Nothobranchius furzeri: one gene and its partner. The protein of the gene in region 2 purifies or fractionates together with the protein of the main gene of each other region. This does not show direct contact. Links are inferred from orthologs where the notes say so. Each region holds a gene or a part of one and is shown on either strand. Other genes may lie near its edges. The genes, in order: pan3 and pan2.

The links.
Region 1: the proteins of pan2 (region 2) and pan3 purify together in Homo sapiens (co-immunoprecipitation; 5 studies listed by BioGRID and IntAct, with this or other methods). This does not show direct contact. The link is inferred for Nothobranchius furzeri from reciprocal best matches to the Homo sapiens genes PAN2 and PAN3.

What each region holds. Positions count from the first base shown.
Region 1 is NC_091747.1:51,123,092-51,127,476, reverse strand, and holds the start of pan3 (PAN2-PAN3 deadenylation complex subunit PAN3), read right to left. Parts: upstream 3,043-4,385; 5' UTR 2,815-3,042; coding exon 2,496-2,814; intron 1-2,495. Other genes in the region: receptor-type tyrosine-protein kinase FLT3, read left to right, coding at 3,856-3,889. UniProt on the Homo sapiens protein: Regulatory subunit of the poly(A)-nuclease (PAN) deadenylation complex, one of two cytoplasmic mRNA deadenylases involved in general and miRNA-mediated mRNA turnover.
Region 2 is NC_091755.1:54,247,975-54,251,792, reverse strand, and holds part of pan2 (PAN2-PAN3 deadenylation complex catalytic subunit PAN2), read right to left. Parts: intron 2,947-3,818; coding exon 2,850-2,946; intron 2,588-2,849; coding exon 2,468-2,587; intron 2,364-2,467; coding exon 2,244-2,363; intron 2,153-2,243; coding exon 2,024-2,152; intron 1,945-2,023; coding exon 1,745-1,944; intron 1,648-1,744; coding exon 1,499-1,647; intron 1,421-1,498; coding exon 1,314-1,420; intron 1,242-1,313; coding exon 1,143-1,241; intron 1,065-1,142; coding exon 976-1,064; intron 548-975; coding exon 403-547; intron 320-402; coding exon 182-319; intron 110-181; coding exon 50-109; intron 1-49. UniProt on the Homo sapiens protein: Catalytic subunit of the poly(A)-nuclease (PAN) deadenylation complex, one of two cytoplasmic mRNA deadenylases involved in general and miRNA-mediated mRNA turnover.

The DNA of each region.
Region 1 (4,385 bases), on a different chromosome or scaffold from region 2:
AAGAGTGAAATAAAGCACCTTCAACGTGCCTCTCGTTATGGGGGTGCTTTTTGCGACACACCAGACTTCAGTAAAGTTAGCAAGATATTCACAGATTCAACTTTTGCGGCTCAATACCTTCTGAACAGAGGGGAATTGGTATCGTGGCAAGGTAGTGAACAAGCTACAACCTCGTTTCTTAAAAAAGAAATAATACGCTCTGCTCCCGATGGTTACGTTAGATGGCCTGTATTTGATATAGCGCCATCTAGAGTCCTGGAACCCCCTAAGGCGCTTTACAACACAATCAGTCATTCACACACTGGTGGGGATGAGCTACGATGTAGCAACAGCTGCCCTGGGGCGCACTGACAGAGGCTGCCGAGCACAGGCACCACCGGTCCCTCCGACCACCACCAGCAGGCAACGTGGGTTAAGTGTCTTGCCCAAGGACACAACGACAGCGACAGACTGAGTGGAACTCGAACCTGCAACCTTCCGATTACGGGGCGAGCACTTAACTCCTGAGCCACCATTGATCTCTATGGGCCGACGGAACAAAACGAGCGCTCAGGGACCATCAGCAAATCATCACACCAAAAACATTAGATGATAAACTTTGTAAAAAGTCCATTGTTACACACTGCAGCGTGACCAAATTTACAAAATACAACACTGCACACACGCTGATCACACTAAACTATTTAGTTTAATCCAGGTATACAGTTTTGATTTAGTGTGAAACTTTTAATATAAATTGCAAAAGCTCATCCATTTAAAACTATAGTGACACCAAATTCACACAGAAAATCACAACTTGGATGCTGATCATATTACACATTTTATGTTTTTAGAGAAAATACTATACTTTTCTTCTTTTTTTTTCGTTCTGACTTTTGGTGATATTTTAAAACGTAGAAATTAAATAACTCCTATACTGTGAACTCTTGACACAAAATTATGCCTGCTGGTCAATACTTAGCTCCTCTACATATTACAAAATTGTGTGTCAATTGAGTTTAAAGTGTAGGAGCTATTGAAATTAGAAAATTTTAAAAAATTTAAATTTTAATTCTGAGAAGTATTTTTAAACAAAAGTAAATGTTATGTCAACAGAGTTTACAGTGTAGGGGCTATTGAAATCTCTTACTTTGAAAGAAATCACCCAAAATCAGAGAAGTACAAAAAAATAAAAATAAAACGTGCAGACCGTAGATAAGGTAATGCAATTAGTTGCCGTCAGTTTGGTATCGCTAACATTTTCAATGTAGGAAATATAGATAATTATAAGTTATAAAAAGATAACCAAAAAGCAGACAAGTCATTTTTCTGCATCCAATGATAATCATGAATGAATGAATGATAATGTGGTGTATGATTTTGGTGTCACTACATTTTAAAATGGAGCAAATGTCAAAATTGATATCTTCAAAAATTAAAAAATTATAAACATTATGTGTTACTGGATTAAAATAATCAATGTAGTATGAAGAACATGTGTGTAGTGTTATATTTTATGAATTTGGTGACACTGCAGCATACAGGGGTGGTGCTGTTTCTGGTTAGTCCATTTTCAGACGGTCCCGGCAGGTTCGTGTTCTCATAGAGCACAATTTAGCTCGTCGGGAGCTGAGCACGGTTTTTTTTATTTTTAAGATTGTAGCTTATACACTACCTTGCCACGAGTCCAGAGAGGTATTTTATGTTTTGAAGTATTATCCTGTTCAGAAGGTATTGAGTTGCAAAAGTCGAATCTGTGAATATCTTGCTAACTTTACTGAAGTCAACACCAGATCCTGCCACAAGGTGATAAAATAAAGCGCACCTTAAGTAAAAAAAAAAAAAAAAAAAGTTGTATTTTTTAAATATATAAATATTCGCTGCTATTGGTGGTTTTAGGTTTGAATGTGTCTAGAAAGCTTTGAATGACTTAAGTCAAACGTAAATGCGTGTTTATTAATGTTTGTTTACCCCGACAAAAGACGACGCGAAAAGCAACAACAATGCTGTAAAACAGTTAGCATTGATACGCTAACGTTAGCAAACATGAAAAACACAACAGCAGCACTACTTGGAATTAAAATATAAGCATTTAACTAGATTAAAACTAATGCTACAACAAGTCAAAGGAGTAAGAAATCTTGAGACGAAAAAATAAACACTAAAGTTAGCTCAAGCGTTTGTTAATGTGACGCTTGTTTGTTTAACTGGACAAGCTAATAGCTACACAGCTGTCACACAAAAACAGGCCTCCGAGTGAGCTGCACACACATGGCTCTTTATTATTGTGCTAATATTCAATGTAAACTAAATTAAACTTGCAAAACAACCAGAGAGAAAGATAAGGGCTAACTGCCTACAATAAGGTTTGGTTCTGGCATGTTACGGTAAACCACGCTGTTTAGCGGTAAAGAGGCCCATGCGAGTCCTCGGGCTAAATTACGAGACCGCTGCTTAAGGCCTCAAAGAAAAGTCAGTTAGCTAACTCGTCCGGGGCCCTGTCCGTGTGTACTCACTGGTTAATAGCTGCCCCTCTAGGGACGTGCCCGCAGGCCCCAGTGTTTCGTTCTTCTTGGATACACCGGTCCCTCCACCGCCAGTGCAAGGCGTCACCGCCGTGACGCCGAGGGAGTACCCCGCCGTGGCCAGCGGAACAGGGCTACCGCCGCCGTGCAGCGGCATGCTGCCCATGCACGGGTCTTCGTGCAGAAACTGACACTCATCCCCATAGAAGCAGGTTTTGTCTTTCGCATAGTATCGGCAAAACTTCACCTTGACATTGGGTATCCCGACACCCCCGAGCGGAGCAGCTGAAGGTGGGAGTCCACTGTTCATGGCACCACTGCTGCCGCCACTGCTGCCGGAAGGCACTCGAACATAGAGCCGCGGAGAGCTAAGTGCTAAGCCAGCTACTTTACTACTCTAAATAAATCACTTCAGCTCACGGATAACATTTAACATCCCATATTACTCGTATTATAAAGCTAAAATACATTTTGGTTTAAGAAAATATGCCCGCATGTGTGAAATCTTGGTGGTTGTTGTCACCGTCCATGCAGCTGCCTACGCTGTAGCGGAGCCTGTTGTTGTTTTCTGCTCTCAGCCAGGCTGATGAGTCGATAGCAGAGCAGCTAACAAGGATATGCTGCGTGGAGTGCAGCATCATTCACCTGCCGCAAACTCAACTCAAGAGCGCTGCTTCCCAATTTTAAACTTAAAGTGCAACTCCAAGTATTTCTGATGAAGTCACTAATAAATAAATGAGTAAATTAATAAATAAACTGAGACAGAAGGCAACATTAGTATTTTTTATTTAATCTTTATTCATTTATGAATAATGTTTTAGTGCTGTGTAATAATAAAAATTATATGATTTTAGCAATCGAAGTCTTTAATTTAATTAAGTTTTGATCCCTCTAGACCACACATTTAACACTGCAGGATCTGCAGTCGAGTGGCGGGCCCTAAACTTTGGGAATTTTGGAAACCACCGAGGTTTCACTCAGGACATGAACAAAGGAAAACAATTTCTTTAATTAAATGTTTTATTCTAAATACAATGTTTCACATATGCATGTTTTGAGACAAATTTTAAAAAGCATACATATACTTATAGCGATTATGCAAACATATTTATTTTCCTATTTCCTGCAAAAAAATACCTCTTCTTTTGCATGTCTGTATTTATCGCATGGCAACATATAATAATACATTTTGCCATCTCAAATTATTTCTATGGTGCTAATGTTTTGGTTGTTTTGAGCAAATAGGCGTGACTATTTCTAAGACTTCCTCTCTTTAAAAAGATCCCCGCACACTTAGTGCGCTGCAGTTTCACTGTTTGCGCTGAGAAACCAGGCACAGAGTGCAAGCATTATGGTGCGGGGAAACAGATGTGCACTAGCTGCAGGTACGTGAGTGTTTAAACACAGCTTTTCATGACGTTGAAAGCTGAAAATGCATTTTAAAAGTTAATCATTGGAAATTGTGACTGTAGAATCAGACTTTTTGAACATTAAAAAATATTCTCAATGTGTGCTCTTCACTTTTCTAATAATTTATGAGATTTTTGTGAAGACTATGTAAGATATCTGATTTAAAGTTGTATTCTACTGTGTTGAATTTAAGAAAAATGTAATGTTTAAATGTGAGGAATTACCATAACATCTAATCCAGATTAGGTAATTTGATTAAAACAATGTCATTATTAAAGATAAATCTGATTCATATTTTCAACCATTGCAGGATATTAATTAAAAATTTACTAATCTTTTTTTAATCTTAAAAACATCCTGTATAACAATGTAAAAAAGTAAATTCCTGACACTTTTGACCTGTTCTTACATTTAAATTAATTTCTAAATATCCTAAGTGACCATTTTTCTTGCCTAGAAAGCAAAGTAGGA
Region 2 (3,818 bases):
TGATCGTTAACATGATGTTAAGCTAACATAACACAGCTAGAATATTTACCTTGTCAATGGGTTCAATGAGGAAATCGTTGAAGAGGTACCACTGCTGGTGTGTGACTCCCTGAAACACAAACATCCTTTAAATGTCGACTTTAACCGCTGAAGATGAAGCTGATGTTTCACTTCCTCTCACCTCTTTCCTTTGGTGGTACGTCTCGCTCACTTTGATGTGTGCAACCAGGTTCCCACCTGTGCGGGCGTCCTGGACGTGGGGCACCGTGACGACCAGATCATAGAGAGAAGCACCTTCTGCTTCTTCAGCAGAGCTCAGCTAGACACCGAGGCGTCGCAACAAGTCAGGATTCATGTGCAAATCTTCACCGTTTCTACAGAAGAGGCTAAATAAAAGCGTACCTCCTCTCCCTCTGAGCAGCTGCTGATCTCCAGACCCTGAGTTTTACTGATGGACATTTTCAGAGTGGCAGGGATCCAGACGTGTCGTAGATCTTCTGCCCGGGTGTCAAAGGTGAAGCCACCCATGCTGCAGATCTCCTCCCCACTGAGTGATGTGAACAGACACCAATGATCTGTGTTAGAGGTCCACCTATCTGGGCTTTTCTATGGCTGACACAGATCTCTGGATATCAGGGCAGGAAATGGCTGAGAACATCTGTGTTCATCATCATCATCATCACAGTGGGTTTATTCCAACTAAATACAGACTGGCTGATTAAAAGCTGGTTGATTGCTCTTCCTCTAATCCATGGATCTGAAATCATCTGTTCATCAAAGCAAAATGAAGTGGAAACTAAACTTCTGCATCTGTTTTAAAGCAAAACAATTTTGTTCCTCTTCTCCTCTCTTTTACAATTATTTTATTAATCATAACGAGGCAAATAAAAACAAGTGTGATAGATGTCATTTAGACCTGGACGGCTCCACCAGGTGTGATGATTCAAATAAAACTCAAACTGACGATGTTCTTACTCTAAGCACCACTCTGTGTTGCTGGGAGGGGGGTCGCTGGATCTCGCTGGCTCCGTGGCCTCCTTCTGCATGGCTTTGTTAAAAGCATACTGGAAAAAGAAAAGGGAAGTCAGGAGATCCGATTTAAATGGAAAGTGTTGCAGTAAAGCAGACAGGTGATATGTTACCTCTGCCTGAACTTTCCAGAATTCCGCCTCTTTGGCGCTGTTTACCTCACAGTTTATGACCAGAACGTCGGGCAGGCACCTGATGTTACGTGTCTGCACCTAGAGAAAAGAATAAAACCATTTAATTCTGCTGCTGGCGGGATGTGGCTGCTGCGGTTACATGAAACGCACCGTAGGCTGGTACTTCTCACAGTTTTCGCACCACGCCTGAGTGCTCTGCTCCAAACAGATGCTTTTCTTCAGGATCTCAGCAAAATCATGTTCCTTAACCGTTTTGTCTAAAGAACCCAAACTAAATATTTATCAATCCAGGCTACGTAAAAGCACATTAAGAGTGAAAAAGCCCCCTAACTCACTCTGAGAGTTGTGTTCTGGATAATGCATGGTGAAGAGCAGCGTGAGAGAGGACCGGACCGTCTCCTTCCCACAGCGACACAGGCTGCTGTTCTCTACCTCACAACCAAACAGCTTCCCGATGATGGACTCACCAGAGGAGCCCAGAGAGCTACCATGAACAGAAGCACACACACACAAGTTTATCTCCGCTATCATCTGCTCAAACAGCTGCAGACTCCATGCTGGCCGACTCCAGCTGTTCTGACCTGCTGCTGGCTCCCCTGTAGGCCTGCGGACCCTCCTGCTCCTGCGTCTCCTGGTGCAGCTGGGTGAGGATGAAGCGATTCCAGCTCTGGATTAGGCGGCCCAGTTTGGCCTTCCCCGTTTGCTCATCCGAGTCAGCGAGGATCAGGCCCAGAGCCGAAGCTTCAGGGATGGTGCGAAAGGCTCGGAGGAAGTTACTGGCCTGAGGGAAGAGATGAGCCAGAGCACAGGGTTGGTGATGTCCTAACACCCCTGCAGAGACGACAGGACCGGGACTTTACCTGACACGGGTTTCCTCGTGACAGATCCAACATGTGGAAGAGGAAGCCGAGCTCGCAGGCCAAACAAAACTCCTTCTGGCACAAATGATTCTGTACAAGATGCCGGATTGGCTCCAGGAAATATAACACCTGATGCACCCAACAGAATAGTCAGAGATCAACAACCTATGTTAGTCCTCTTTCCCACTCGAGCCCAAACAGAACCTCCGGGGTGCTTTACCTGAATCATGCAGTTACAGTAGGCGTTGGGGATATGCGGCTCAAGGCCGGCAAACAGAGTCTTGTTGTAATGTTTGAAGTCAAAGTCCTCCAATCCCAGCTTAGAGTATTTAATGGTGACCTGATGCAGCACAAACACACTCATTAAACCATTACACACACTTACTTTTCTGCCTTAAAAGTAAATGCACCATTGATATTTATCCGTAACAGAGACATCCCCACCTTCCTGTACTTCTTAGGAACCAGGCAGAGATGCGGCTCCTCCTCACGGCCGATCGGAGACTCTGGAACCTGGTTGTAATTATCATAATCCAGCTCCACATCCTTGATCTTATAGGGAACCTGAAACACGCACAGGACACAAGTCAGGAAACTTAAAGTGAAACCACTAAAAGCATTTGACGTAAAAGTTTAGATTTAAAATGCAGCAAAAATTCCTCATTAAAACATTTGTTTGTTTACTGATGCAGCCTTTTGGCTCTTTGCAACTTCAACTAATCAACTAAAACCTCCCCTTTTCTTTCCCTCAGTGGCACCAAGAGCCTAAACACAATCTATTGGTGCATTCACAGGCTTTTCAAAACATGGGAACTTAGACTTCTACCTGGTTTCGGGGGCGTGTGCGAGGATTTGCTGCATAACCGATGAAACCGACAGTTTTCATGGTACGAAGAATTTCTGGGTCCACAGCAGGAGCTCGTCTGTTGTAAGGAAAAACTGAAACTTATCAAACTCAAAGGAAAAAAAAACAAACTATCTAGAGACCCATCAGGGGGTTCTGATAAATGACACCAGTGTCCCTTTCACGTAACTTAAGCATTTATTTAACCAGCTGTAGGGAGAACCTGGACACTTAAAGACATAAACAGGGATGTTTATAGAGCTGTGTTCTCATTTAACACTTTGGACTGTAGTGAAGCAGCAGCATCTTTTATTTCTGTTGATGTTTGTGAACATTTCAGGTTTCCACAGGAATAAACCTGGAACCACTTCATCGGTCTGTCTGGATAGAGAGCTGTAGTGGTTTAAGGTCTACTGGGTTTTGTTGGATAACTTTAAACCAACAATGTGTGTGAGAATAACCAAATATACAAATAAAACAACATGATAAAAGCAACACAACCACAGAGGTGGAGTAAGTTCACCTCTAAGAATTAAGAAGGGACCTTTGCTCCTTCATGTTCGAGGGCTAAAACACAAAAGCTGGACTGATCCTGTGTCACCAACGGGTAATTATTAGGGATGTAAGAAAATATCGATATGGCAATATATCGTGATATTTTTTCCTGCAATTATTACATTGATATTCAAAAGCCGTGAATCTAATTCTTGAAAGAATTTACATGCAAACTTTTGTGTATTTTCTTTTCGTTTTGTGCAATTCAATCGCCACCCGCTAGTTGGCAGCAGTGTGCAACGGGTTTTGTTTCCACCATTGAAATGTAAATCCCTCCATCATGGTTCAGATACCTCATGTTAAACATGTTACGTATCAGTTTGGACTGTTTATTGAACATTCTTACAATAAATTCAGTAAAAATAATTGCTTGTAACGTCTGACTGAATGTATCGC